Linked DNA regions of Oryctolagus cuniculus. The protein of the gene in region 6 interacts with the protein of the main gene of each other region in a pairwise test. Links are inferred from orthologs where the notes say so. Each region holds a gene or a part of one and is shown on either strand. Other genes may lie near its edges.

The links.
Region 1: the proteins of CREB3 (region 6) and RHEB interact in a two-hybrid assay, tested with the Homo sapiens proteins (2 studies listed by BioGRID and IntAct). The two-hybrid records come from large-scale screens. The link is inferred for Oryctolagus cuniculus from reciprocal best matches to the Homo sapiens genes CREB3 and RHEB.
Region 2: the proteins of CREB3 (region 6) and C4H3orf52 interact in a two-hybrid assay, tested with the Homo sapiens proteins (2 studies listed by BioGRID and IntAct). The two-hybrid records come from large-scale screens. The link is inferred for Oryctolagus cuniculus from reciprocal best matches to the Homo sapiens genes CREB3 and C3orf52.
Region 3: the proteins of CREB3 (region 6) and AQP1 interact in binary tests that used the Homo sapiens proteins (3 or more experiments, as listed by UniProt). The two-hybrid records come from large-scale screens. The link is inferred for Oryctolagus cuniculus from reciprocal best matches to the Homo sapiens genes CREB3 and AQP1.
Region 4: the proteins of CREB3 (region 6) and CD82 interact in a two-hybrid assay, tested with the Homo sapiens proteins (2 studies listed by BioGRID and IntAct). The two-hybrid records come from large-scale screens. The link is inferred for Oryctolagus cuniculus from reciprocal best matches to the Homo sapiens genes CREB3 and CD82.
Region 5: the proteins of CREB3 (region 6) and ACSF2 interact in a two-hybrid assay, tested with the Homo sapiens proteins (2 studies listed by BioGRID and IntAct). The two-hybrid records come from large-scale screens. The link is inferred for Oryctolagus cuniculus from reciprocal best matches to the Homo sapiens genes CREB3 and ACSF2.
Region 7: the proteins of CREB3 (region 6) and ATP6AP2 interact in a two-hybrid assay, tested with the Homo sapiens proteins (2 studies listed by BioGRID and IntAct). The two-hybrid records come from large-scale screens. The link is inferred for Oryctolagus cuniculus from reciprocal best matches to the Homo sapiens genes CREB3 and ATP6AP2.

What each region holds. Positions count from the first base shown.
Region 1 is NC_091438.1:22,310,807-22,315,091, reverse strand, and holds the start of RHEB (GTP-binding protein Rheb), read right to left. Parts: upstream 2,801-4,285; 5' UTR 2,337-2,800; coding exon 2,285-2,336; intron 1-2,284. UniProt on the Homo sapiens protein: Small GTPase that acts as an allosteric activator of the canonical mTORC1 complex, an evolutionarily conserved central nutrient sensor that stimulates anabolic reactions and macromolecule biosynthesis to promote cellular biomass generation and growth.
Region 2 is NC_091435.1:68,130,444-68,134,689, reverse strand, and holds the start of C4H3orf52 (TPA-induced transmembrane protein), read right to left. Parts: upstream 2,801-4,246; 5' UTR 2,716-2,800; coding exon 2,578-2,715; intron 1-2,577. UniProt on the Homo sapiens protein: Has a role in LIPH-mediated synthesis of 2-acyl lysophosphatidic acid (LPA). LPA is a bioactive lipid mediator involved in different biological processes, and necessary to promote hair formation and growth.
Region 3 is NC_091447.1:22,123,360-22,127,483, reverse strand, and holds the start of AQP1 (aquaporin-1), read right to left. Parts: upstream 2,801-4,124; 5' UTR 2,682-2,800; intron 1,654-2,681; 5' UTR 1,574-1,653; coding exon 1,190-1,573; intron 1-1,189. UniProt on the Homo sapiens protein: Forms a water channel that facilitates the transport of water across cell membranes, playing a crucial role in water homeostasis in various tissues.
Region 4 is NC_091432.1:21,096,396-21,099,895, forward strand, and holds part of CD82 (CD82 antigen), read right to left. Parts: intron 2,075-3,500; coding exon 1,950-2,074; intron 1,827-1,949; coding exon 1,752-1,826; intron 1-1,751. UniProt on the Homo sapiens protein: Structural component of specialized membrane microdomains known as tetraspanin-enriched microdomains (TERMs), which act as platforms for receptor clustering and signaling.
Region 5 is NC_091448.1:26,333,293-26,337,320, reverse strand, and holds the start of ACSF2 (medium-chain acyl-CoA ligase ACSF2, mitochondrial), read right to left. Parts: upstream 2,801-4,028; 5' UTR 2,376-2,800; coding exon 2,248-2,375; intron 1-2,247. UniProt on the Homo sapiens protein: Acyl-CoA synthases catalyze the initial reaction in fatty acid metabolism, by forming a thioester with CoA. Has some preference toward medium-chain substrates. Plays a role in adipocyte differentiation.
Region 6 is NC_091432.1:198,639,729-198,643,871, reverse strand, and holds the start of CREB3 (cyclic AMP-responsive element-binding protein 3), read right to left. Parts: upstream 2,801-4,143; coding exon 2,363-2,800; exon of another isoform or gene 2,359-2,362; intron 2,262-2,358; coding exon 2,124-2,261; intron 2,027-2,123; coding exon 1,879-2,026; intron 1,803-1,878; coding exon 1,735-1,802; intron 1,616-1,734; coding exon 1,526-1,615; intron 1-1,525. UniProt on the Homo sapiens protein: Endoplasmic reticulum (ER)-bound sequence-specific transcription factor that directly binds DNA and activates transcription. Plays a role in the unfolded protein response (UPR), promoting cell survival versus ER stress-induced apoptotic cell death.
Region 7 is NC_091453.1:26,459,492-26,463,639, forward strand, and holds the start of ATP6AP2 (renin receptor), read left to right. Parts: upstream 1-1,348; 5' UTR 1,349-1,575; coding exon 1,576-1,615; intron 1,616-4,148. UniProt on the Homo sapiens protein: Multifunctional protein which functions as a renin, prorenin cellular receptor and is involved in the assembly of the lysosomal proton-transporting V-type ATPase (V-ATPase) and the acidification of the endo-lysosomal system.

The DNA.
Region 1 (4,285 bases), on a different chromosome or scaffold from region 6:
GAAGGCCAATCTCCCTCCCCCCAAAAACCCCACAAACTACCAAGCATCGGGGATCATAATAGACGCAAATAACGTCAAAAGCAAACACAACACTGGAGCTAATTTCTCATGTACTTTCATCTCACTATGCTTGAAAATAAATATGGAGAAAATGGAGTAGGCTGTAGAAATATGACATACTGTAGAAATACAACATACTAGGAGTTACTATGCATCCCACTGGAGGCTAAGTTAGCAGCACAGTGCTTAAATAGTTTAACAGTGATAAAACACTGGACTTGCTCACTGGAGACTAGGGTCGCCATTTCAAAATCGTCAAAGGGTAAATTAAGTCATAACCTTCAGGCCATTTGCTTGGGTTGAAACCAGGTAGCTGGCTTGGCTCTGTGGCATAGGGGGTAAAGCCACACTGCCTGCAGCGCTGGCATCCCATATGGGCGCAGGTTCGATCCTGGCTGCTCCACTTCTGATCCAGCTCTCTGCTATGGCCTGGGAAAGCAGTAGAAGATGGCCCAAGTCCTTGGGCCCCTGCACCCAAGTGGGAGACCTGGAAGAAGCTCCTGGCTTCTGATCGGCCCAGCTCTGGCCATTATGGCCATTTGGGGATTGGACCAGCAGAATAAAGACTTCTCCCTCTGTCTCTCTGTAATTCTGCTTCTCAAATAAGCTCAAAAAAAGAAAAGAAAGAAACCAGGTAGACTAAGTGCTCATCACTGTAAGCTCGTTCTTCCGAGACTCCTATCTTTGGTCAGCACTATGTATCTGATCAGACAGCACTCAAGAGCCAACACCTGCCACAGACCCTCTCTTCCAAACGCACACAAGGAAACACGGAGAACACAGAAAAGCAAGAAGATGCCTCAGGCTGCTGATAAAGTTTAGATCACAGGACCATACTGGCATTTGGAAAGCGGACTGCGGAGCGCCTTTCCGGCTGCAGCTGTTAGGGCTGTCACCTGCTATTTCCATCTGTGCGTCCAGACCTCTGATGTGGGACTGCGGGCTAGGCATATCCACACAGCTCATCCACCTCTGATTCCCGCCCACCGCCGAATCTCCGGACTCCCCCCGGAGAGACGGTAAAGGGATGAGTAAGCATGCTGTAGCCGATCTGGGTCAAAGCGAACAGACCCTGGCACGGGCGGTGGAAAGTGGGGGTGAGGCAGCGAGAGAGACGCACAGCCGGGGAGTTCCTCTGCCGAGCGCCGGCAGCCACGGTTCCCTCCAGCGGCCACCACCAGAGCCGCCAAACGCTGGCTTTCCCCTCCGCCCCGCAGCGTGCTCAGGTGCACACTGTCTTTCGACAGTTACTTTTTAAAAAAAACCAGCAGGACAACATAAACGTATTTTCTCCAGGTATCGGCTTGTCTGAGACAACAAAGCCGCCCCCAAGTTCAACGGCTCTGTTTTTTTCCCAGTATGACACTCAGGGCACCAACCCCCGACTCCCTCTACCCAGCAAAGCAGCGACTGCCAGAAACAGTTTCAAATGTATGCCGACCTCCTAAGAAAAAAAAAAAAAAAAGAGAAGACTTCCGAATCACTCCAACAGCCTGAATACAGGCACCTGACCTTATTATTTTTTTTTTTCCCCTAAGAAAAATAGGGCACCGAGAGACGAGAAAATTTTCTCTCCTTTCCTATTTTGGCCGCCAAGAGTATCTGGAGCACTTTTGGTCTCTTTGGGGGCTTTTCTAGGTTTCTTTGGTAGGGAACTTGCCCTCAGTAACCAAACTCTAACCTGGGGGGGGGGGGAGGTGTGTGTGGTGTGTATGTGTGTGTTTCAGGCTGAACTTCACAGATTTAAAGGACCCAAGGTGCCGTTTTCTTTGTCAAAATCCCACGGACTTCACTGGAGGCCGGGGTGGCGGAAGGCGGCAGCCGGGATCACGAGCGCCGGCGGCCGAAGGTAGAGGGAGGCAGGTGCGAGTCCCACCTGCTGGGAGCGCCCGGCAGGGCGGCAAGCGACTCCCACCGCCGCCAAACGCGCCCTCGGCAAACCTAGGGCTCCTCCGCGCCCGGTGGCCCCACGTGCCCCGCCGCCACCTGCCCGCCCCGGCCCCGCAGGGCGCGGGTTCCCGCATCGCCCGGTCCGGCGCGGTCGCCGCCGCCCCGACCGCCGCCACCTCTGCTCAAAATGGTGGTTACGAAACGCGGCCCCCCTCCCGCCCGGCCCACGGCCGCGCCGGCTCCACAAACTTCGTCGGCGCGGCCGCATCCCCGCAACCCAGCCGAGGTAGAGGCCCCGGCGGCGCGAGGAGGCCGCGCGGCGCCGGCCACTCACCCACAGACCGGTAGCCCAGGATCGCGATCTTCCGGGACTTGGACTGCGGCATCTTGGCGGCCTCCTCAGCCCCGGCCCAACCACATCAACCGCGGCGGCGACGGCTGCTGCTGCTGCTGCTGCGATCGGCGGCGGCCGCGCCGGGGGACAGCGGCATACAGGGCAGGGGCGGCGGCGGGCGCGGCTGCTCTCTCTCGCTCGCTCGCTCGCTCGCTCGCGCGCTCCAACCGCCCGGAACCGACCGCGCGACGGCGCCCCTCCCCCCACAACACGGCCACGTGACCGCCCCGCCGCGGCCGCCCCCTCCGCCAGGGCCCGCGTCAGCGCCGCTCCTCCCGCCGCCGCCGCGGCTCGCCGCCTCCGCCCCCTGTAAAGGCGCGGAGGATGCGTCGGGGCAACGTTCTACTTTAAAGGGAAAAAACGGGGACGCCGAAATGCTCCCGGAAAAGTCAAGACTGAAACTCGCTGCGTCATGACCCTCCCACCTCCTTCCGCCGCTTTTTAATTACGCCAATTCTCTCCGGACGCTGATTGGACAGTTCCTGCCCGCCCGCGCGATGACGCGACGGAAACTCCGTCTCCCATTGGGGACGACGAGGAGGCGGGGCCAGAGGCGGGGCTACTCGCCGGGAGGCTAAAAATACACCCGGCTCCTCCGCAGCGCCTGGGCGCCGGCGGGGTTTGAAGGCTTCGAACTTGCAACGGGTGGGAAGTGGGCGGGAGAGGCGGAGAGAGAGCGCGCGAGCGAGCGAAGATGCTCCGCAGCTATTGGCCCGAGAGGAGCGCGGGGCGGGGCTAGCGGCGGGAGGCGCGGGGATTGGAGGAACGTCGAGCAGTTGGCTGACTGGCTCTCGCGGAGCCCTTAAAAGGTTCGAGGCGCGTGGCCATGGCGGGCTGGCTGTGGGTTGACCGGCTCCCCCCTCTTTTTTTTTTTTTTTTTTTTTTTTTTGGTACAGTCTCTCACCGCTTTGGCGTTCCCAGGTCTAGGTTTGAGGATGTAGGTGGTGACTAAGCGTCGCCCGAGGCTTAGAGACTGTGGGCTGAAGGGAAGCTGCATGAATTCCGAGATGTCAGGAATTTCATTAAAAACGGCGCGAGCCTCTGCAGCTGTGGTGTGAAGCCCTGTGACGGGCGGGCCCGGTGCGGGAATCCTGCGGTAACAACCAACGCCAGACCCTCGCGCTGCTCGTCCACGAGGCCGTTCTCGGGGAAGGGGCCGGGGTGGGCGTTGGGGGGGCGCAGGCTGTCGCGGACAGACCCCCTTTTGCAGGGTGTCTGTGAAGAGCCGCGGCCGCCCCGCGGAGCGCAGGAAGGCGAACCAGCCCGGGAAAGGCGGGCCTGAGAAAATGAAGATGCCGTTGGGAGACTCCCCAGCCATGGCAGACAGCGTTGAACGCGGTGGTGGCCGAATAAGCAGTTCCACTGCTGCCGCTCCTGCGAATCTGCCCCTGGTGTGCGGCCCGGGCTGACGACAGCTGCCCTCGCGCCGCCCCCTCCCCCACGAGTGGGGCGGGGACCCCCGGGGGCCGGCCTTGGGTTGCGGAGTGTGGAGATTCAGAGCGCTTGTTGTATAGCTGCACCTGGTCGAATTGCAACCCTGCCCTAAGCGTTCCGGCTTACCCACCGAAACCCTCCTAGCAAAGGGGAGAGGTGTACGTTTGTATCCTCAGGGTTCTGCAGATTGAAGTCGCAGACAACCAGCTGGAAGCCATCTTTAAAACTCTATAGTTTGTCTCAGCGAAGAATTGCCTTCTCTATAATTTATTTAAAGATTATTATTTTAAAATTTTTATTGTCACTTATTAGAGAGAAAGAGATAGCTTCTGTCTACTGGTTGACTCACCAAATAACTACAACAACTAGAGCTGGGCCAGGCCATACTCAAGAGCACAGAACTCAATCCTGATTTTCCCACGTGGTTGGCAGATACCCAAGTACTTGAGCCATCACCTGCTTCCTCCCAGAGTGCGTTAGCAGGAAGCTGGTTCAGAAATACAAGAG
Region 2 (4,246 bases), on a different chromosome or scaffold from region 6:
TTTAATGCACTTGCTGTTTGATCCAAGCACAAAAGAGCCAGTTGATTTTTATCCTGAACCGAACAATATGTAGCAATGGAGCTAATTTTTAGGTAGCCCATTCCCATAAGCCTTGCCTACCTCAAAAGCACCAATTTACTGGTTTAATATTATTCTAATGATGCTGTCATCGCTTAAAATGTCTCTGAGATTTCTATTTGAAACCTGAGTCAGAGCCCACGTATGAGCCATAGAAGGAAACTAGTCCCACCTCATTACCATAATTTCTTTTCCACTTTTGACCTTGTGTTCAGAGTGGCAGCAGGCAGAGTTCTATGGCTTGTATCCCTTTCCCCCAGTCCTCAAACCTAGATCAAGAGAGGAAAAGAAGTTCTTTCCACTGTCTTTGCATACTCTTGCAGCTCAGCTGTGCCAACCAGGAGGACATCACAGGGTGGGATGTCTATTTCCTGTGACCCCAGAACCGTTCCCTACCCCTCAACATCCACCCATCCACTCATCCAGCACCAACTCTTTCCATACTCCTATTTCACTTAAATTACAATTATAAATTACCTAACTTAAAGAAATTAGCAATATCTAATCTAGGCAACTACAATAAGTGAGTACAAATTATAAGTCACATTATATATTTAAATGATCGAGACTAAACCAACAGAAACAGCGTAGGTGACAGAATGTCTGAGTTCAAACCTCAGAGGCAGCACTGAGAATATTTGGGCATTGAGAGGCTCAATTTTCAGTTTCCTCGCCTGTCAAATCACAACACTGACAACATTCATAAATGCACTTATGTATCACAGGTGTTTGGCATATGTAGGTACGCAACAGGTGCACAATGGAAATATAGGGAATTAAGCTGCATTTGAAAATGGAAATCAGTACACAGTTTAAGCAGCTCCAAACAGAAAACTCTCAAGCGTCTGAGTTCTGTCCTGTGCAAGCCAGTATGCTTAGTGACCCTACACTAATTGACTTTCCTGAGTTTAAATGCATGTCAGCTCACTCTTCAAAACAAAACAAAACAAAAAAATTACCACACTGGGTGATGGGTTGTCACCTTTAAAGATTTTTCCTGCTCAGGCATTTCTAGAATGTCCTCGAGTGCTCACATAGCCCTTGGCCTTCACTCCCTTCTGTTGCTCACCAGAGCTTTCATACTGAGAGACCTACAAAGCTACCTCACAAGGAAATCCAGGACACCTGTATAACCTAACAAACAAGGAAGTCTTTAGAACATGAAAGAGCAATCGCTACGGGGCAGGTGCTAACCAATTGGAAAACACTGACACCTACATGGGTATCACGTTCTACAATTCAACTGTTTTCCACCAAGCACCGCCAGGTCTCACAGATGCCCAGCTGGGCACCTTCCCTTTCCACTTTTGACAGCCTTGGCCCTGGACCACAGCTTACAGTGGTGAAGCTGTCACCACAACTCTCATCACTGGACTTAGTTTCAAAACATGGAGACTTGAGGTGTCCTGGGTCTCTCTAATGTGAAACAGGGATCTCCAATTCCCAAACCTCTGCCTAATGCTGTATGGCTGAAGACACTGGGCCTGGCGATCAGACCATGGGTGTACACTCTTCACTCTTCCCAGGTGTTTATATTTCATTCAAACATAAAGTGCCCAAGTACTCTCTAGGATACCAGTAAAAGCAAGCTTTTCAGGAAAGCATACAGAGCCATATTCTGAACCTCTGGATTTCCTGTTTGTCCCCAAAATCAACAGTTGAGTGGCCAAAAGGGGCAGGACGGAGGAGTGGGGCCTGGTGCCATCAGGCTCTTTATACAGTTCCTTGTACCCAGTAAACCCCAAGCCAGCGGTGGGAGTTAATCACAAGGATGGCCCAGAATTCAAAGTCTCTGATGTTTTACAAGCATTTGATGGGAGCCTATACTGTTGCCACCACCGCTGGAGTTGAATCAGAAAACTGCTCGGTCGAAACATCACGAGGGACTTCCTTAGGGATCCAAAGGAGGCGACAGCAGAGGGGGCTTGGTTCCTTGGGACAAGAACTTTGCAAATATTTCCTCTGATGTGAACACAGCGAGCTCACCCCCTCCCAGGCCAGCTCCAGGCCCCTGGCTCCTGCGGCTTTCTCCCCTCTCCGTCTTTCGGCGGAATCCGAAGGCCAGGCCGGGAGAAGACAGAAAGTGTTCGTGTCTGGGGCGAGGAGCGAGGACGGTGGGTGGGGGATGGGGGCTAGGGAGCGGAAGGCGGGGTGGGGGCCGGAGTTGGAGAGGTCTGGAGGGTTGAAAGGAGGCGGGCGAGATCCTAAGGAAAGGAGTTGACTCCGTCTATGACCCTCGTTCTCACTACTTGAAAGAGAAAATAAACTTCATTAAAGAGCCCAGCTCTATCCCGGGGGAGTCTGGTTCTCCAGAGCGGCGCGGCCACACCCCGCACTGGGGTTCCCGGAGCGCGGCGGGGTCGCGGGCGGCGCAGGGGCCGGTGCGGGCGGGCGGGCGGGCTCGAGCCCCGGGCGTCGGAAGCTGCCCGGAGAACGCTCGGGAACCCCGAAACTCCCAGCTGCCGGGCCCGTCCCACCGGCGCGCCGCGGGCACCTCACCTGCGGCGGGCAGGCCTCCTCCACCGATGCCGAGATGACCGTGACCTCTCCACTGAGAGGCGTCTGCTCGTCTGACTGCCCCCCGAGCACCGAGAGCTCCAGCTCGTCTCGGGCCGACGGGCACACGGCCGCTTCCATGGGCCGGCTGAGGAGGGCTGAGCTGCTCTGCCCGCGGCCAGCGCCTACACACCTGAGGGCGCAAAGTCCAAGGTTGCCCCCCCCCCCAACCCCACCCCGCTCACACTCCACCCACAGGGCGGGGCGCGCCGCAGACCTCGGGCCGCGGGAGGGGCGAGGCAGGTGAGCGGCAACGCTCACCCAGGGAGGGAGGCCCTCCTGGCCCCTGCAGGCTCCCGCGGCTGCGACCGTGCCCTGCCGCGTGCTCCCGAGCGACGCAAGGCAGTTTTTCTGGTTTGTTCAGGGCGCTGCCTGCTATGCCTTTCCCCGTCCTGCAGAGGCAAACCAGCTCTTGAGACTGGCTGGGGAGCGGGCTGTGGAGAGGAAGTTCCACGGAGGAAAGTCTGTCTGATACCCCCGGAGCTGTCAGTTGCTGGGACTTGCCCCCGTCCTCTCTGCCTGGTAAAATTTCGTCGCTGAGTCAACAAATAACTCCGCACCTTCGACTGCGTGCCAGGCATGGCGCTAGGTTCTGAGCACGTGCAGATCTCGCGCGCACACAGACACACACACACAGTTCTCTTAGGTCCAGAGTCAGACATGGTGACGGTATTGAGTGGTGAGGGGGTGGGAGTGGAGGGGTAGCAGCAGACTCCAGAACCAGACTCTTCATCCCCACTCAGAGGGCGCCTAATCAAAAGACCTCAGGCGCCGTGGGTTCTGTGCCAGACTGCCCTCATCCGGAAATTTGGCATAGCTTACATGCCGCTTAATGTGGTTCTTGCCAGGATTGAGAGTTGAGGCAAATAAAGCGCTCAGAACCTAACACAGAGCCAGCACCGGTAAGCTTTGGCTCCTATTATTTACCTTTGAGGGGAAGGATCAGAGACACTCCCTCTCCTAAGGAAAGTATACACACACACACACACACACACACACAGAGTCTCTCCATAGATCTGAACTTCTGGTTTAGTGAGCATAGAATTGTGTTGGTCCAAAATCTCAGCTCTGAAGCTTCTGTTCAGAGCAGCCTTGCCCCCCTCTCTCTCTCTCCCTCCCTTTCTCCCTCCCTCTCTCCCTCTCTCTCTCCCTCTCTCTCTCTCTCTCTCACACACACACACAAACACACACACACCAGTCAGAAGAGTCAAGAGACATAGAAATAAGCTCCATCCTGAAGACATGGACTTGTGTTAAAAAGCTGGGACCTCACTGCCCCCTGCGCAGGTGCTCTGTCCGTTAGCAGATCATCTGTACTTTGGACTCCACCTGCTACTGAATAGGGTCTGCTAACTGCAGTGACTGGGCTGCTGGCCAGCACCAACTTCTGCCCTCTCGTCTAACAAGCAGATCCTGTAGGAATCAGGCTCCATTGGCAGCTGGGGTTTTGAAGAGGCTTTTAAACAAAGGCACAAGGGTTAAGGGAATCAAGGAGGAATGCCGAGGTGCTGGCCCCCAGCAAGAGTGAGAAGCTGCTGAAAACTCCAGGCCTAAAAAGGGACTGGAGGCTGATTGAGAACAGGAGCCATGGAAGGGGCAGTAGTGGGGGCTC
Region 3 (4,124 bases), on a different chromosome or scaffold from region 6:
AGCTGCCTTCAGCACCAGCCCCTTCCCAGGACTTGAACTTGAGCTGCAGAGTGTGCAGACTCTAATCCCAATCCACCCCCCACCCCACCCCCGCCACCCCTGAGGAGCCTCTGCCAGCCACCTTTCTGTCCCGAGCTGCCTGTCCTGCCAGCCTGGTTTCTCTGGATCCTGTGCCTCCTCTCTGCACCCCAAACCTGCCTGCCTGTCCCTCCAGCCCTCTGAGACACCCTCCAGCCCCTACGCAGCCACTGGGGCCAAATGGCCCCCTGCCGTGGCCCGGGCACTTGGCCGAGGAACTGCAAAAGCCTAGGTCTATGACCACAGGCAGCTGCCACCAACAGCCACTCAGACATGCTTAGTAAGCCATCAGGGAGCAATCCTTTGGGCAGCTTCCACTCAGCTGCCAACATGTGGCTGCCATTACCCACCCTGGCCCAGGAGCTCTGGGCACAGGTGGGCACAGCGCTTCCACAGGCTCAGAGACCGCACCGGCCAGCAGGTGCACACACACATGGTCACACACACATAAACACGCCCCGGATGGTGGCGCCAGCCCCTGCCCCTGCCCCCACCCCATGCTGCCGTCTGGGGCAGCCGCCTTCCAGCAGCCCGGGACAGCGTTTCCATTCCCTTATCTTTGTCCAGGTCCCTGAGCAGAGCTGCAGAGGGGCCTGCCTCCCAGGACAGGGGGCAGTTGATCTGGGGACCTGTGTGAACACAGGGGGCCACCTGGAGGCTCCCCTGGGGATTCCTGCTCCCCCACTCGCAGGACTGGTCACAGATACGCCACCCTCTGGCTCAGCGTGGCTGAGGGCAGCGGGCAGAGCTTGCCCAGGGGCAGGGCTCCAGAGAATGGAGCCGGTTGCACAGGCAGGGCAAACGAGGGCCAGGAAGCTACAGCCCCGGGGGTACAACTGCTGGCCCAAACAGCCAGCGGCTCCCAGAGCTTATGCCCGCAGCAGATGCCCTGCAGGGGACATTGGCACAGCCACCAGTCTCTGGAGCTCAGCTTCCCACAGCGCCTGGCAGCAAGCGGGCACAGCTGAGCTCCAGCCCCAGCTCTCTCCATGACCTTCAGCAACCTCTGGTCCTCTCGGATCCTCAGCGTCTCCATCTGCACAATGGGCAGAGGATGGGGCTGAGTTCCTCTCTGCTGGACTCCCCACACGCCTGGGTCCCCGCGACTCACGTCGTTGCGGCCGAGCGAGTTCATGGGCAGGGACGAGGTGACGCCCGAGAGGATGGCGGTGGCGACGATGGCCCCCACGCACTGGGCGATGATGTACAGGACGGCTCGCAGGATGCTGATCTGGCAGCTGAGCAGCAGGCCCAGCGTGACGGCCGGGTTGAGGTGGGCGCCGCTGATGTGGCCCACGCTCTGGGCCAGCGTGGCAATGCTCAGGCCGAAGGCCAGCGACACCTTCACGTTGTCCTGCACGGCCGTCTGGTTGCTGCCCACCGGGTACTGGAAGCCCAGGGCAGAACCGATGCTGATGAAGACGAAGAGGGTCATGGCCAGGAACTCGGCCACCACCGCCCTCCAGAAGATCTTCTTCTTGAACTCGCTGGCCATGCTGGCTGGGGGCTCGACAGGAGGCGGCTCGCTGCCTGGGGCTCCACTGCCTGCAAGCTCAGCCACAGCCTGGCCGGGGCCTATTTATAGGGCGGGGGGGGGTGTGGGGGTGTGGACGGGGGGCGGGGAGCACAAAGGGAGGAAAGGCCTCTCCTTGCCGCTGGCCCGCCCCGCACCGCACAGGCCTCCTCTGGGGCGAGATGCCGCCACGGCTCTGCTGTCCGCCTGCCAACTTTTTTCCTTCCTCCTCTCCCCCTCCCTCCCTCCCTCCCTCCCTCCCTGGCTCCCTCCACCCTCCTCCCTGCCCAGTCCGAGGAGGCAGGCAGGAGGCAGCCGCTGCTCTAATAGGCTTTGGGAAATTCCTCCAAGCTGGCCCCACTCAGGGGGCTGGAGAGAGCCAGGTGGCACAGTCCTCCCTGGAGACGGCACCATGACCTGGCTTTGCCTGGCATCCCCAATCCCACCCAAGAGCCGTGTCAGGTCTGGAGCCGGCAGCTCCGGGGCCCCAGCACTGCGCGTCACTTCAGGGATGCCCCAGAGCCGCCAGGCCTCCGTGGACAGAGAGGGAGCTTGTCTGGGTGCCGCCCTCCGTGCCGGGTCAAGGGCAGGCACGAGATGGCAGGAAGCCCCACCCCAGGGCCCCTCCAAGTCCCGGGGAGCAATGTGTATTGATGCTGTGGGGGCAGTGGGGCTGTCGGGGCCAGTTTGAGACATGGCCACATGTTAGTGGAGAGACAGAAGGAGCAGAAGCTCAACCCAGAGCCCAAGGTCCCTGAGAGGAGAGAAAAGGGCGGACGGGGGGGGGGGGGGCAGGCAGACCGCGAGGGCAGAGAGGCAGGGGAGAAGCAGGGCTGCAGGCGCAGGGCAGAGGAAGAGAGAGCGCCCCAGCCCGAGACGGGGAGATAGGCTGGCAGGAAACACACCGCCAAGGTGGGCGCCAGCTGGCTCTGCAGCCACAAAGCAGAAAGGTGGGAGTTACAGAGGAGCCGGGAGCCAGGGAGCCGACAGCTGCCGGGGAGAGAAGACCCACGGCCCAGGGGCAGCCAGCAGAGCAGGAATCAGGACTCAGCCGAGAGCAGGCAGGAAGCCCCTGGTGCAGCCCCCTTGCCTGTGCCGGTGCAGGAAGGCGATCCGGGCAGGGCCCCAGCTGGGCGCTCAGCAAGGGCCTGGGATGCTCCGGGCAGCTCGGCTTCCACCTGCCCTCCCCGCTGCCCTTCTGCCCCAGCAGTGCTGACTCCTCCCCAGCCAGGGAGGGGAGGGACGCCTCTGAAATCTGCGTGTGCTGGGGGCAGGCGGCCAGCTGGGGTGGGGTCAGGAGCTGCACCAGCCACGTGCACCCCACTGCCTGTAAGCACAGAGTAGCCCGGGGGCAGCTTGTCACCCTGGTGGCCAGCGGCCCTGTCTGTTCAGGAGCCTGGGTGAACTGAGGTAATTGGTGCCTTTTAACCAGCCCAGAGAGGGAGCCAACTGCACATCCTCCACTCGGCACAGCCTCGGCCCCCGCGGGGAGTTCTGTGGTCAGTTCCAGGGTCCTCCAGCCAGAGGTCTGCTCACAGGGCTGGGGTTCCTCACACGGCTCCTATCTCTCAGGCCCCAGGCTCCTGGCGTGTCTCCCCTGGGCCACATCCACTGCGGGACCCCCACACCATCGTCGCCTGTCCCCACCCTCCCCCTATTCATGCAGGGCTGAGCTTTGTCACTGCTCAGTGCCAGGATCCAGCCAAGAGGCAGTGAGGGAGCTCAGGGTTGGGGCAGGACTGGCCCCGGGCCCCATGGAGCTACTACTGAATGCCCCTTGGCAGAATCAGGGCCACAAGCTTGGTGGAACCATGACTGCAGGCCAGGCCAGAGGCTGCATGACACGCATGATGGTGACAGCCACTTGGACCTACGAATTTACCCACCAAGGGCTGGCTTAGCCCCCTGGCAGATGCCAAACCCTGTCCTGGGTGCTGGGGACAGCAAACGCCCAGACAGACCAGCGTCCTGTCCTCACTGGGCTCCGTGTGGCTGCAGGGGCCAGCTGGGACTGTGGAGTGTGTGAGTGTGAAGGTGTCCTCAGCAGGTGCCCTGGCTCTGCAGCAGGAGCTGGGGAGTCACAGGGAACAGCGTGGGGCCCCCACCCCGGTCTCTGGTCCTCAGGGCGAGGCCGTACCTTCCCGGCTGGGCATCTGCTGCCATGCAGCTGCTGCGGCTCCCGTCCTGTGGAAGAAGGCACCACCCTCACCAGGAGGCGTCATCAGAACGCAGGGGGCCGGAGAGGCAAATGCAGGCCCCGTGCTCTCCTGTGGTACAAAGTGGTTTCTGTGGCTACCACCTGGCCATTGGATGGGCCAGGGGAGGGTTTGTGGCTGGAGGCTCAGAGACACCCTAGACCCCTCTGCTGCCGCCTCTTCCCTGGTACTCGACAAATCCAGGCTAAGTTCAAGTAGGGCGAAAGGACCAGCATCCCACTGGTGCCCTTCATCCAACTGTGGCCTTCGCCCCTCAGCCCCGGAAGGCTCCGGAGCAACAGAAGTGACTGGCTCAGGAAAGGCAGAGCCAGAATGAG
Region 4 (3,500 bases), about 180 Mb from region 6:
TTTGGGGCTGCGGGACAGTGAGTCACACAGGGGACGGGGTGGGCGGCCAGAGGTCCCTACCGAGGCCAGCAGCTTCTGAGTCATGGGGGCTCAGCTCCCAGGGCCAGGCCCCTCCCCTCGCAGCTGACGGGGTGCCCGAGAAGCCGCAGGCAGCCATGAAGAGTGGACCCCGCAACCCTCTTGCTGGAAACAAGTTTCCCTTCCCTAACCGCTGGCTTCCTGTCCAATAGCCAGATGAGCGTCTTCATCTACCAAGTCCTCTACTTCCCCCTTTGCCTTGCCTGCCAGGAAGCTCAGGGCTCAATTTAAACCCTGCAGGGCCATGCGTATCTTGGGTGTAGACGATACATAAGCAAAGCAGCTTCAGACAGGTGCTAGCACAATGCTTGTTTCCTGGCCCTGCCGCTGACCAGCTGTGAGAACTGGGGCAGGCTCCTTCGCCTCTCTGGGCCTCAGCTTCCACATCTGAAAATGGGTATATGAGTACCCGGAGTCGCACAGCATTGGCGGACGAATAACCACATGCATTGTGTGCTGAGTGCTGTTAGCACCAGGCCTGCCTTGTCTTGCAACGACCATTAGGGGTCGCTGTTGATACTGTGTTTGCTCGGCTCCCTTCCAAGCAGGATCTGAGACCAAAGGCAGGAGCCCGTCTGGCCACCCGCTGTGCTCTGCTAGCCCCTTGGGTGGGCAGGCACTGGTAGCCGGTGCTGGCAGCCGGCCCTGGAGGGAGGCAGGACCCCCAAGGCTTAGCTGGGCCACGGACAGCAGTGCAGTGGAGTGCAGGCAAGGGTGGGCTCCGGCCTTGGAGCCATCTGTGGGATGGAGCTTCTCCCACGGCCTGGCGGTAACCTGGGCAGGGCCAGCGGGAGGACGAAGCTGAGAGAGTGACCCACCCTGTCCCTGGCAGCTGATGGCTGCGCGGGGCCAGCTGCCCGGAGGGTACAGGCTCCGGTTACCACTATCGACGCGCCTGTCACTCATCTCCCGGAGCAGCTGCTTCTCCACCTGCCAAGGCAGAACTTCACCAGCAGAGCGGTCGTGTGGATGAGACAGTGTCTCTAGAGCTTCTAGAAGATTCTATGGCACGCACAGCCGCTCCGGACAGGATCATGGGGACAGTTGCAGCTGAGTGTGGCCCACCCAGCGGTCTTCCCCGGGGCCCTTTCCCTCCTGTGCTCTGTCTTCACAGTCAAATAGTCACTTCCTCAGCCGCCCCTGGAAACCCCGTCCTGGGAAGCCAGAGCAAGGGCTGTTGGGTTTCTACTCTCGCAAGCTGGACAGCTCCCCTCCGACACAGGACTCACGATTTAACAACAGGCTCCTCCCTGGGCCCCAGTGACGCATGGGTCCCCTGGATGTGACGCTTCCCAAGGTCCCTTAGCAACAGCAAGATGGAAGAACATTTCCTGAACCGTTACCATGCCACGCGCGCCTGTGCTAAGTGTCTCACGGAGATGGTCTCCCCAAGTGCATAGGACAACGCCGTCTCCCTTGTACCGACAGCGATGCAGGCACAGAGAGGGCAGGCAGCTTGGCCGAGGCCACACAGTGAGCAAGTGGCCCAGTACGGTGGGCACGGCTCAGCCCAGCAGTGACCCTGCCTCCGGGAGCTGCCTCCTGAGGATGCGCCCCCTCCAATCCAATCCCACAACCTCCGCCATGCCCGCCCGATCACCCCGACACCCAGGGCCAATCCCTTACGTGTGCGTGCTGGTCTGGGGCAGTGCTGGGGGAGACGGGGGGCTTACCTTGCCCACGTTGAAGTAGAAGAGGACCCCCGCAGTCACCTGGGCGATGAGGATCAGGAGGAGGAAGGCGAAGTACTAGGGACACAGAGCAGGCCTGGCGTGAGACCGGGGGAGAAATGCCCCAGCCAGACCTCGGCTGGACGGGGGAGGTGGGCGGGCGGGCGGGCGGGCAGCGGCTGCGCAGGGGCGGGCACTCACCAGCCCCAGCAGGCAGCGGACCTCGTTGATGGCGCCAAGGCAGCCCAGGAAGCCCATGAACATGGTGACCGCCCCCACGCCGATGAAGATGTAGGCTCCCATCTTGAGCGAGCTGGAGGACGTCTCTAAGGAAGCAGAAGCACGGCCGCTCGTTAGTAAGCCCAGAACCGGTTAGGACAGAGCCTGCAGGCCCAGCAGGTGCACAAAGACCCGGCCCAAGGCTCCGGGTGTGCTCCTCCCTCTCCCTCCTCGGCTTCAAGGTGCTGGGGTCCACCATGATTGCCCCTACCAGCCTCCTGCCACCCGACCGGGAACCGGCTCCCTCGGCCCCTTGCAAGCTACCCGCCCGCTGTGGATGCGTCCCCAGCCTTGACATACGCTGAGCGCACGCCCAGGCTCGACCTCATCTCCTTAGCACTTGCAGAGTGAGACAGGGGCTGCAGTTGGGTCCTGCTGAGCCCCCTGCTGGCCAAACAGTGCAAAAGCCCAGTGAATGCTGCAAGTACTTTTAATTCAACCAACCACCGGCTGGCCGGCAGCCCCTGCTAGGGCCCCCAACAGGACCACTCCCGCCTAGTGCCGGATCACTTTCCTTCTTGTCCAGATCACAGTAAACATCATCACTTCCTGCCCACTCTCCGGGCCTTGGGGGCCTGACCCACCCCGTCTCCAAGTGGCGCGAGCCATGGCCATTTCAAGGGCGGGGTTACCAGGGCCAAGGCTGCAGCTGGGGTTTAGAAATAAGCAGACTCCAGGGCCCTGCACTTGGCACTGCTACATGGGCACATGCACGGATACAGGGGCGAGCCTTGTTCATGCATCCGGGCAGCAAAGCCCTAACTGGGCGCTGTGCTCACGCCTGGGGCAGCAGAAGGCAGGCAGACAAGCCCTGACATCTGGCGGGGGGTGGGGGAGAGACGTGGGGACAACAAGGGAAGAACCCAAGGCACTTTAGAAAGTTCATGGAAATGGGACATCAAGGATAAGCTTATTTTGGTAGTAGTTTTTTTTTTTTTAACCCATGCAGTTCTTTTTATAATGTGAATTTCCAACAAATGTTTGGAAGTATGCTCATCCAGAGTGCATTGACTGATTGCTTATACGAGAGGGAGAGAGAGACGGAAAGAGAAACAGAGAGAATGCATCAGAGAGAGCTTCCGTCCTCTGGTTCACTCCCCAAATGCCAGCAACAGACAGGGCTGGGTCAGGCTGAAGGCAGGAGCCCAGAACTCAATACGAGTCTCCTGAGTGGGGGGCGGGGACCCACACTCTTGAGCCATCACGTGCTGCCTCCCAGGGGGCGCGTGCACAGGAAGCTGGCATTGTGAGTGGAGCCTGCACTAGCATACAGGCTTCTGACGTGGCATGCACGGGTCTCCAGCGGGGTCTTTCCCACGGCGCCCAGAGCCCATCCCTTGTTTGGATTTTCTGGCCGGGTTAAGGGCCATGAAGATCTGAGGGTGGGTTACGCTGGAGACAACCGCAGGGGGCTTGGCCTGAGCTGGAACGGTTAGGGGAGGTGGTCGGAGCGGGTCTCCTCTGAGTCAGCCA
Region 5 (4,028 bases), on a different chromosome or scaffold from region 6:
TTCTGGAGGCTTCAACCCCAGTGCTCTCTGTCCGCTCCTGCACGGAGCTTCCCCAGCATTAGATGTGGCTGTGCACAGGCTGCCCCGGCCAGCTCTGAGCCAGGTCTGGAGGAAGCTGCTCATCCCCGACTTCCCCTTGGATGCCTCCCTTGCAGCTCCCTGGAACCCCAGAGTAGCCCACCCACCTCCCTTGGGAAAGAGGAGTGTGGACAGAGGAAGGAGTTGGGGGTTGGGGAGCTCTGGAGCAGGATGGACAGCCCTGTCTTGGATAGAGGACTCGACTCGTGTCCAGTTGGAAGCCACCATCTTGGCAACTGGCCAGGAGGAAGAATCAGGTCCAAGAAAGAGACCCCTGAGGAGGGGAGCCTCTGTCACTTTCAAAGTGGTTGGAACGCCCAGCCAGGCATCATTCCTGGAGGTTCAGGGAGCAGCAGCCCTACCTCGGAGGACAGGCTGGGTAGAAGAGTGAGCTTTGTCCATCAGCCCCATGACCTGTCAAGTAGGGAGTATTAGTGTCAAACCAACCAGGCTCAGCAATAATGCCTAAGATCATGCAACTGTCGGGGGAGGAGCCAGGGCTGTCACTCAAGACCATCTGGCTTCGGTGTTCTGGCTCTCTGCTCACTAAGCAAAAACCAGAGATGAGAAGGAACAGCTTTTTGGGGGCGGGGGGCCTGGGTTGGGCAGCAGCAGAGCAGGCTATGTGTGACCAAATCAGAAACAGCAGAGGACAGGAGCCAGGAGCCTCCCGCAGCACTCAGCAGCGGTCCCTGGAGGTTCCTCCACCGGTGTGCAAACTCCTGGAAAGCTGAGCACCGAGGCCCAGCGCCTGTACCCAGCGCGCCCACTAGGTGCTCCACACAGTGTTTGTGGAAGGTTTGCCAGCCAGAGGCTTCCGAAGGAGGGAAACCAGGCAAAACCAGCAGTCAGCCGCAAGCGTGGTGGGGGCGGGGGGGGGGGGGGGGTCAGGACAGACCGGAAGTTAGGCTGGAGCTTAGGAGCTCTTATCACTAAGGTCTGCCCCCCCCCCCCAGGTCATAGGCTTAGAGGTTTAGCTTACTCACCCACAAAATCAACAGTCAGAAATGTCACTCTGTGGCCCAACCGGCCTGCGTTAGCATCATAAACTCTGTTCACTTTGGGGGATAACTCTCCTTCCAGTCCTCACGGCAGACCAGGCACCCAGGAATCCCAAGGTGGGGCTGGAAGGTGAGGGAGGAGTGGAAGCAGGCCCAGCTCTCTCCATCGGAATCTACAGGCCAGCAGGCACCCACGGAGCGTTTTCTAGCAATTAGGCGGTGATATGAAACATCAAAGCCTGCTTTCTAGCTCTCCGGAATGAGCGAGTTCAAAATGTCGTGATCTTGCCAAAAAAGGATCTGCGTTTTTTCCCCCTAAATACCAAATCTAGTCCTCTGCGACACAGCCCTGTTCAGGCCTCTTGTCCCGGTGCCATGCCCAGGCCCCGGCCCCACGGCTGTGACCCACACCAGAAATGTCCTGACCGCAGATTAGTTCCCGGCTGGGCTGGGAGCAGGACTGGCTCAGAAGAGCGCAGGCCTCCCCCCTGCTGGCGCAGGCGATAACACCACCCTAACAGCATCTGGCCCGGCCGGGACTTCCACATTTGCAATCTCGTGGGATCCTGCAACAACCGGCGACCCCGGGAAGGCAGGCTTACTTATTGTACTGCTGCCGACCCAGCAAAGCTCCCGGGCCCAGCACATCCTCTGCCTTCCTGCCAGCCCCCACCCAAGGACAGAAGCAAACGGGCCCAGGAGTAGGAAGCCAGGAAGGAAACCAGTGTTTCTCAGCAGTTGAGGGGCAGAGGGGACACTGCTGGGTGCAGTGGCCTGGGTGGGGGTGGGGTGGCGCCGAGCCCCAGAGTTACCCTCTAAGAGGGTGGGCGCAGAGGCCGTGTGGTGGGGGCAGGGCGCAGCCGTGGCCCTCGCCCCTCCCCCTCAGGGCAGACTGCTACAGGCCCATGCCGGGAGCCTCTGCGTGCACCCAGAAGGGGATTAGAACCCAGAAAGGCGGTAATGGTTCACCGAATCTGCCAGCAGCAGCCCCAGACCCTGCTTTGCCCGGGGCCCGGGTGCGGGGAAGGGGGCACTGACTCCCCGGGGCGCGCCACCCGTGGGCTGCGACGCTCGAGTGGGATGGGGAGCAAGCTCTGCGGGGCCCACCCCCCCGCAAGAGCCCTTCCCGGGGGCCGTGCCTCCTCTTCTCTTCCCGGAGCCCCCCTACCTGAGCGAGCGGACACCCTGCAGCCTCGCTTCCTGCCAACCCCGAGGGAGGACCGCGCGGGCCCCCAGGACCCCCGGACTCCCGGCGTACAGCCTCCCCAAGCGCAGCATCCCGGCGTAGACAGCCATGACTTGCTTCGCCCCGCGTCCCGGCCGGACTAAACTTTTAAAGTGAGCCGAGGCGGGGCGAGCGCGGAGCAGGCGGGGAGGCGGGGAGGGTCGCCTCTGCCTATGGGGTGCGGAGGACTCGGTCCCGCCGAGGCGGGGCGGGGCGAGGCGAGGCGAGGAGTGGCGACTCTGCCCTGGGGCCACCTTCCCCTGGGACCCGCGGCCCTCCGCGCCCACCCACGAAGAATTCCCCTGTTTTCCTTCCGGATCCAAACACTGGCCCTGCAGCCCAAGACAAGGGGCACCCTCCTAACCATCTGGGTCTTGGGGGCGCAAGAGCTTGCAGATTTCACAAAGGCGTGGCGGGGGGGGTTGTCCACTGGTGAGTTGTGCAGGGCCGGGTGGCCAGGCTCAGGCCTGTGCGTCTCCTACGCCCGATTTAGCGCGTGGGTCACGTGTCCCCCGCCCCCCGCGTTGCTGTCCGAGGCCGAGGGAGCTGGTGCGAGGCGCCCGCGGGGCGTGCCAGCTGGAGCAGAGGCCCGCGGAGCCGCGGAGGCGGCCGGAACGACGCGCGCGGCAGGGAGCCCCTCCCAGCCCGCCGGCGCGGGGCCGAGGCAGGACGTCAGCCTCGCAAGGGACGGCTGTTGGTGGCGGGTGGCGCTGTCTCGCAGGCGGTGTCCGCCGCTCCGCCGCCTGTGCCACGGCATAGACCCTCCCAGTGGGGTTCCTGCGCCGGGCTGTAAGGTGGCGTCAGGGGCCCGCCTGTGTATCCCATCCCCGGTTGGCCAGCCCTGCCCTCGCTGCTGGGAGGCTAACACAGGGAGCGGCTCTTAGCTGCCTCTTGATTCGCTGAGGCCCCGCTGCAAGTGGGCTGCTAAGACCCTGCAGGGCTGCAGGACGGAAAAGTGGCCGTCCATCCATGGTCCTAGCCGGGAGGCACGGGGCTCCAAAGAGTGGCTCCACATACACAGGTCCCAGGCTCGCAGCATCCTGGGCTAGCTTTGACCCTTTCCTCCAGAGAAAGAGGGGGAGAAAGGCCTTGGCAGAGTGAGTCCCCTCTGCTGACCTGGAAGGGATGAAGTAACCTCCGGGCAGCAGGGTGGCTGCGGGTGGAGTCTGCCCTGAAGAGACCTTTGCCCTTTCCCGCGCACTGGCTCAGTTGAGGTCATGAGTAGGAGTCCAGGCTGCTGCCCTCACCATCCTGAGTGACCTCCAGCCCCCTGCAGCCCTGGCTCCTGGGCAGGGACCTCATGATGTGGCAGAGTGGGGTCTACATTCTTAGTCCATGCCCTTGCCTTCTACCTAGAGAAGCGATCTAAGGGCAGGCACAGATGGGCTGCACCAAGTGATAAAGCTTATTTAAACGGTGAGAAAGGGGCCAGCGCTGTGGTGTAGCGGGTAAAGCCTCAGGCTGCAGTGCCAGCATCCCATATGGCCGCAGGTTCAAGTCCCAGCTGCTCCACTTCTGACCCAGCTCTCTACTATGGCCTGGAAAAGCAGTGAAGATGGCCCAAGTCCTTGGGCCCCTGCACCGATGTGGGAGACTCAGAAGAAGCTCCTGGCTTCTGGCTTCTGGCTTCGGATCAACTCAGCTCCAGTAGTTTCAGCCATCTGGGGAGTGAACCAGTGGGTGGAAGACCTCTCTCTTTCCCTCTCTCTCTCTCTCTCTGCCTC
Region 6 (4,143 bases):
TCCCTTGTCTAGCCTCCCTAACCAGTAGCCATTTTGGTTTCCATCAGAATGCCTCTAAAGACCAGGTGTTAAGATCACAGGTGCCAGAGCATTTTTAACAATTTCATTCACTGAAAAATTTCTTACCCTGAATTAACATCTGCCTCCATGTAATTTCTATCCATTGAACTTATCTCTGGGGTCGTGTAGAACAAAATTCTACATAGCTGTTTTAAGGCTGTTGGCATTTCCTCAGAGTTTAAAAAAACACACACACAAAAAAACCCTGGACAGACTTCTTAACCCAACATTTCACCATCACTGCATCCTCTTGGTATCTGTCAAAGATACAGGCCCAAAACTGGGCACTTAAAATGCACTGTGATTTGTACAAAAGACAGCAAGACAGTCTTGCCTTTTTAGAGACAATGCATGTATTGACGCTGCTTCCACATCCCACTTGCTTTGCCATATCTCACTGCTGACTCATCTTGTACTTTTAAGAAGTTAAAATTTCTTTAATAAGTACTTATTTTATTACAGGGTCACAATACTGTGCTTGTGAAGTCACCACCCAGTGTTGAAACTTAAAACTTATGCTTCTACATTTGTACTGTTAGAAGGCTTAGTCCAGGCCGGCGCCGTGGCTCACTAGGCTAATCCTCCACCTTGCGGCGCCGGCACGCCGGGTTCTAGTCCCAGTCGGGGCGCCGGATTCTGTCCCGGTTGCCCCTCTTCCAGGCCAGCTCTCTGCTATGGCCTGCAGCTCTCTGCAGTGGAGGCTGGCCCAAGTGCTTGGGCCCTGCACCCCATGGGAGACCAGGAGAAGCACCTGGCTCCTGGCTTCAGATCAGCGCAGTGCACCAGCCCCAGCAGCCATTGGAGGGTGAACCAACAGCAAAAGGAAGACCTTTCTCTCTGTCTCTCTCTTTCACTGTCCATTCTGCCTGTCAAAAAAAAAAAAAAAAAAAAAAAGAAGGCTTAATCCAGCCTCATTGAACTCCCTAAAACAATTCTCCCATTCAGCGCGATGTAGATTACCACCAAGCCGATGAACTCCAAGTGGCAGAGCCCTTCCCTTGCACAGTCCTGCCCAAGGCCCTACGCTAATGTTGCATTGATAATTCTGAAATCTTTTTTCTTAGAACACCAAAATGTGTTAGAAGCCTCACAAAACCAGGATCCACCCTTGCATCTAGCATATTAACCAACAACTCTGCTAAGATGTTCACCTCTTAAGTGTATCTTATTTTTGACACTGATATTACACACATCTATAGGATACAGAGTGACATTTAAGTAATGTATACAATGTAAAAATAAGTAGGGCAGGGTAACTGGCACATGTATCACTGCAGACATTTATCATTTCTTTGAATCAGAAACTGAATATCCTCTCTGCTAGCTATTTTGAAATGCAGCTGCTACCAAGCATAACGTTAGAAGTGACTCCTATCTGACTGCATTCCGGTACAGGTCGACCAGCCTCTCTGCACTCTCCCTCCCCTACACCCTCCAGCCTTTGCCCCACCAATGGGAGCCTTACCTTGGTGAGAGGAAGCGTTCCAGGCAGAGTAAGCCCCTCCTTCTCCAGTAGCCTCTTCTCCTCCTCGGTCAGTACCAGCCTAGCAACCTCCTGAGGTTACGGGGAAGTAGGCAGCAGTTGCATGGGGATGTCCGAAAGAAATGGGAATTCCCGCCCCGCCCCGCCCCGTGCAATGTGGGGATAAGCCTCCTGAAAATCAAGTCAGCTACCTGCTCTGTTGGCTCCTCCACATACAGCGGAGTCATCGGAGCCTCCTCCTTCCCATAGCTCCCACTATCTGCAAAAGGGCAATTGTGACTAGCCGGGCCCACGGACCCTCTCCTCTAGCTCCCAACTTTTCTGATGTCACTCACCTACGTCCACGGAGACATGCTCCTGTGGGAGGGAGTAAGTGTGATCGTGGTGCACAGGCGAGGGCTCGCAGGAGCTGAGGTCGGCCAACGACGCCGGGGGACTCAGCAGGGTGCTCAGCAGATCCTCTGCCTCCCAGTCGCTCAGTACCTGCACCGGGTTCAAATTCCCAGGCCCTGGCCTGTCACTGACACCCGGGTCTCGCGGACGTGCCGCGCCTCCCTGACGCGGAGCCCTACCCACCCACCTCGGAAAGCGGCAGCTCCCAATCCGGGGGCGCCTCCACCGACTCATCGGCTGCCTCCCCCCATGCTCCGCTCTGCTCGAGCAGGAAGCCGAGCAGGTCCTGATCGCCAGGGTCCAACGCCAGCTCCATCTGCGACATCTACGGCAGAAACTCAAGGGTTCACTTCGCAGCCCGGTTCCAATACGCGAGCCCCAGGCACGACCCCCAGCCCAACCGCCGGGTCTCTCCCGCCTACCCACCGCTCCTCTTCGGCTGGCCTTCCCCGCTGCCGGGGCGGCAGTCGCTGTCAAGCCCGACCCACCCACCCGCCGGACTCCGTCGCCCTCGGCCTCCAACACAGCACAAGTGACGCACGCGGCCCCGCGGCCTCTCGGGACTTGTAGTTCCCTCCGAGCCGGAAGTGGCTCGGGTGCTGCGCCACGTCCCGGGGGCGATGCAAATGAGGGGGACGTCCCCGCCCCGGGGGCGGGGACACCGGCGACTCGCCTCCGCCTTCGCCCCGAGCTAGAAAAAAGGAAGAGTCCGAGTGTAACAGGGAACTCGGGCGCCGCTGGGGTGTTTTCTCCGGATTGCGCCGCGCCCTGGCTTCCTGCCGGGGAGGGGCTGCCAGTCTTCGGCGGGCTCGCGAGCATCGAGAGCTGGGGCCAGAGCAGCTTCCTGCAGGTCCCCAAAACCATAGAGCGCGGGCCCAGGGCGCCGCCCGGGGGTGGGGGACGCGCCGGGGACGGAAGTGGCCGAGTGTGGCGAAGGGAGGGCGAGGCCGGAGCCGGAGAGCGGGCCCGGAGGACGAGCAGGGCCGGCGGGCGGGGCGCAGAGCCGGGCAGCGCAGGTAGGCCGCGGCGGGCCGGGCCGGAACCTCGGGGTGGGGCCGCGAGGTCTGGCCCGGGAGGCGGGCGGGCGCGGCCCCTGACTGCGGCGCGTCTATGGCGGGTTCTGGGGGAGACGTCAGCTTCCAGGGTGTCTCGGCAGGCCGATCTGCGGGAGGTGGCTCCTCTGCGGGAGCAGTCCTTGGCCTGGAATAGGTTTTGGGGAAGGGTGAGGAGTGTGGCGGCCGCGGGGCGCAGGGCGGGGATGGGCTTTGGTGTTTGCTGATAGCGGGGATGTTGGGCTGGAGAGCTGTGGATGAGTCTGGGTTTAGGTGGGGTTGGGTTTGGGAATCAAGGGTCTCTTTAGGAGGTGTAAGGCCGGGGTTAACGCTTGAGTTATTGGCGTGATTTAGATCCGTTTTATAAATAAGTGAGGTTGAGGTTGAGGTCGTTATTTTGTTTCCTGGGATGACCAGAGGTAAGTCAGAGTTAAAAGAGTTCAGGGTCAGGTTAATGGTCAACAACAGGAATTAGGTTAGAAGTCCATTTTAAGGATCATAGGATATTGTCGTGGTCAGTTTTAAGGATAAACAGTGAAAAGGTGAGTTAGGAATCAAGTTACAGGTGAGCTAATTTAGACTTAGGGGTCAACATTTTGGGTTAAAGTCAGCAGATTTGGTGCTAACGGTAAAAATTAGTTGAGCCTTAGGGATCAAGGATTGGATGCTTGCTGGTCTCTGCTAGGAGGGGGATTCTATGAGAATGAGGAAACAAATTAGGGCACTAAGGGCAGACCCAGGCCAGGAATATTGACCTTGGGCAGATAACATTTAAGAGGTCGGCAATAGATCGATGCCTTTGGTGTGTGTGTGTGTGTGTGTGTGTGAGAGAAAGAGAGAGTGGGGGGGAGGGAAGTCCCCTCATTTTTATTTAGTCACAGGAGCTTCTTTCAGCCAGAGAGATGACACATTTTGGGTTGGGGTTCTGGACTTCAGGTAGAATTTCCTCGATTCCTCTCTAAGCTCAATGCTGTTGCTGTGGCCACCACAGTTACGGGGCAGGGATTGCTGGACTGTGTTCTGTATGAGATGGGAGGTGGGCAATGGCCAGGGACCCAGGCAGTGGGGACCACCCAGGGAGGAGGAGAGCAGTGGCTAAGGGGGAAGCCGACCAGGGGCCACCGTTGTGTGAGAGAAGGGGATGAATGAATCCCT
Region 7 (4,148 bases), on a different chromosome or scaffold from region 6:
TCTCACGGGCTCTGTTACCTGGAATCCTCCCCATTTCCCTCTGCATATTGAAACCAGAGCCATCTCTCCAGGTTATCAGCTGGGGCAGCATCTTCCGACCACAGATGCTACACTGTGTCACTTCTTGACAATAGACTACAAACTGCTGGAAGGGAGAATCTGGGTCTGATTAGTAGGTCTAGCCATCACCTATCCTCAGGTTGGAAATGGAGTGACTGCAAGATCAAAGTAATTAATCTTCTGTCCCATTTGATCTTTGCGGATCTGAAAGTTTTTGGAGATAGGGTTACCAGGCTTAGCAAATCATACACAACACCAAGTTAATATCTGAATTTCAGATAAACAATGAATACTTTGAAGTAACACCTGGACAGTAGATACTCCATTTTGGAGCAGATGAGACTCCATTCTGGGAAGGCAACCCCCCCTCACCGTGAGACTCTGGTCTGAAACGATGATCTAAAATAGTCGGACAATAGCAGGCCACTACATCACACTTGGCAAAGCATAGAAACCCTTTAGCATGATCGCTCAAGCTTAGAAGTGGATAGGCTGCACCTGGGTTAATGATAAAATTGTAATTTGTCTATGTCCAATTTAAGCCAATATCTGGATTAATGTCAAGATTATAATTGAAATTGTTAAGATTGTAATTGGTATTGTCAAGATTATAATTGATACTAGTTTCGCATAGGTTTTAGGTTTGCTTGACCCCAGTAACCATGTATTGCCCTCCCGATTTTGTGGTTTTTGCCTTTATAAACCCTGTTGCTTTGGGCTTCAAGGTCGAGAGTTCTTTGGGGCATGAGCCCACTCAGCCGCCGGCAATAAAGGACTCTAAAATGTGTGTGTGGTGGTCCTCTGTCAGCACTCGCTCAGACACAACAATTTATTTTAAAGATGTACCATTAAACATTCGCGACATACCAAAATTGTTCGTTGTTTATCTGAAATTAGCATGTAACTGGGCGTCCTGAATTTTATCTGCCACCGCTACTTGGAGGACAGGGGTTGCCCGAGGAGCCGGCTCTTTCTCTGCAGGTGCTCAGCGTCTGTGTACCGGTTTAGAGCGAAACCCGAACCAGTTCCGCAGTTTACACAGCTGGCGCTGGTAGCCGGCAGACACCCTGGTTGGGGATTGTTACCCGAGGCTGGCCAAAGGGTCCGCACCCAGGAGGCAGCTCCACCGTGTGGGCTCTAGGGATCCTCCAGACCTGCTCCGACACCCTCTCCGAGAGACCATCCACCCTACCTCCATCTCGTGACCCGTCATCACGGGCCTGGGGGCGGGACTGCTCGGCTTTTCAATCGTGGCCTACCATTGGTGACCCTTCCATCCATCACTCTAGGCTCCGCCCATCAGGCTGACGAGTCCCAGGTTACGTCCTTCCCGTTGTCTCCGGCGTAGCTGCTGATTGGTGGAGAAGGAGGCAGCTGGCCCCGCGGGGGCGACGAAGGGACTGGCTCTGGGAGTCGGAACGAGCCGGAGCGCGTCACCCCCTTCCCGCAGAGGTAGTCGCTCGTGTCCCGCGGGCTCGTTGTGTCGCCCCGCAGTGCTGCAGCTGCCGCGGCACCATGGCTGTGCTCGTCGTGCTCCTGTCCGTGTTGGTGGCGGGTGAGGAACCAGGGGGCGGGCGGGGAGGCTCCGGGAGGCCCGAGCCGCGGGGCTTGGGGGTCGGGGGCCACCGCAGGTGGGCGGCTGCGGCGGCGGGGCGTGTGCCGCAGTGCGGGGAGCCGGCTGCGGCCTAGCTTCGGCCGCCTCCCTCTCGGCTTCTCTCCGCCGGGGCCTGTGGCGGCGCGGCCTGAGCCGGCCTCCACCCTCCGCCTCTTTGAGCAAGGCGCCTCCGCCCGCCGTGTCGCCGACCTCCGGTCAGCCCGGTCTCCTTTTCCGGCTCGGGAGGCCCTATCGGAGGAGGGGGATGCGTTTCTCAATGAACCGTTGAATCGCAGCCCGCTGCCAAGGAGCCAAGGAGAGCAGGCAGACTTCCTAACCGCCATGGTCGGCTGCCTTTTATTTTATTTTTATTTTACATTAATGCGGTGCCTTAATTTCTAGTAGTTGTTATCAATAAAGGATAAAATCCCTTCCCCTCCCTTGTATATGTTTCGGGGCACAGAAATGGAGATGGAGTCATTGTTTGCATGTTTTTTTTGTTTTTGTTTTTTAGGCGAATACAAAGCCCCTCTCATGAGTTTGTCACAGTTCCTAATTTTAAGGATTTGGAAACTAGGATGTGAGTCACCTCTTTAGGGTCACATGTCAGATAAATGAGAGCTAGCAGAACCTGGGTTCCCTACCATTTAGCAAGAGGAGTGCAAGTCCGCTAATAATCTGGCCTTTTTACTATGTGTCCTGGCACCGCGTTTTATTTTACAGCAATCTGTAGAAGAGGGTATCAGCCTCGTTTTGCAGCGCGATCAAGCCTACATAACCTACCCAGCAGCCACAGGTAGCTAAGTAGCAAGGCTGGATTTGAATCCAGGTGTGCTGGCTGCAAAGGGTGGGCCCTTTGCATGCTATGCCTTGCGGCGCACGTCCTGTCAAGTGTGTGAGAATGCGGGGGTGGTGGGGGTTAGACTGAGGGCACAGACAGTAGTAGGGAAGAAGAGGCCGAGTTGAGAACAACTCGGATGAACAGGTGCTGTGGTCCCCAGCATGTCACCGTCAAAACCTGTGGGAGGCCTGTGCCTCTGCTGCGCGAGCTACTGGGAGAGGCTCCTTTTTACAGTGGTGATTTAATCCTGCGTGGGCTGTAGACCAATGGTGTTCTGGAGGGCTGCAACTTCCCTCCTTCCCCGGCGCTGCCCAGGCTTGTGTGTTGATGACCGTTGTTTCATTTTCATGCCCCCAAACTTTTAGGGTCCCTATTTGATTTCTTTCATTGCTGTTTCTTGCTCTGGAAATGTCATTCTGATCTGTTGGCATACTTTGGGGGAGTTTTTAAAAATTTTCATTCAGTTTTTGAAATCTGCCAAGTCTTCCCTCCGATACTGTAGTTGAACTGAACGTCTATTGACATTCCGTGTCTTGATCTTATGTCTGGTACTATTTTGAGTCAGGGAGGTAGGTCTAGGTTTTTCTGTTTGCTTTTGGTCTGACATAAAGTAATTGCTTCTGTATGAGCATTGAACAGGCTTTCTGGACCAGAATGGTCAAGTTTCCACAGACCAAGGCTCTGATCCTGCGAGCTTCTGCTTTGCCCAGTCTTGTCAGATGAGGCTAAATTATTATTTTCCACAATGACTAAATGTGATTTCATGAAACCCACGGTTAGGAGCTCTGGCTTCTGCATTTCAGAAAAGAATAAAAATCCTTCAAACAGTGTGACCAGACTAGAGGGAGAACTAGGGAAAGGGGGAGGGGGACACAAAAGAGATAGGGAACTTGGGTTATGAATACCAGGTCATGAGGAGTATTTGAAAGCAATCCAGATGTTTAGCCTGGAAAGGAGAGGTCAAGGGCAAACACATGGGGTTTGAAGGGACGTCATGTAGAAGAATAGGTCCATTTGGTCACTGCTGCCCTGGAGGACAAAAGTAGGAGCCATTTTTTGGGAAATTAGTGATTGATTTCACCCCCCAGTCATAGAAGATCATAGCTCAGGCTGGTGGAATGCCCCAGGGGAGGGACACATCTAGCTGGCAGGGGTGGCGGGGTGGCAGTGGAGGGAAGTTCCCTAGGAGAAGTGTATAGTAGGAAAAATATGAGAGGCGGTATGAAGGCAAGGCAATTTAGACCAACAGCATGTATAAAAAAAAAAAAAAAACACAGAGATATGAGAACAAAAGAGCAGATAATTTGGTGGGGCAGGGATGTATAGGCATTGAGTTGGGAGGTCCCAGAAGCAAGGTTGCTGAGGTAGGTGGGGTTTGGGGAATTTTGCCTCGCGAATGAAGGCATTTAAGTAGAAGAGTGATCTGGCAGATCTGTGTTTAAAAAGGTGGTAGGAAGCCGGGTCAGAGAGTGGCATGACAAGGACTTGAAACAGGCGTTTTGTCACCAACCTCAGCAGGCCCTGAAGAGTGTGCACCGCACACTTAGTGGGGAGACACTAAGAAAACAAGACCGACAGAATTCAGTGCTTGGTGAATGGCGGAGCGGAGGGAGGGGGTAAGGATGGATTCAAGCAGCTGAGAGGAAGGCGCTG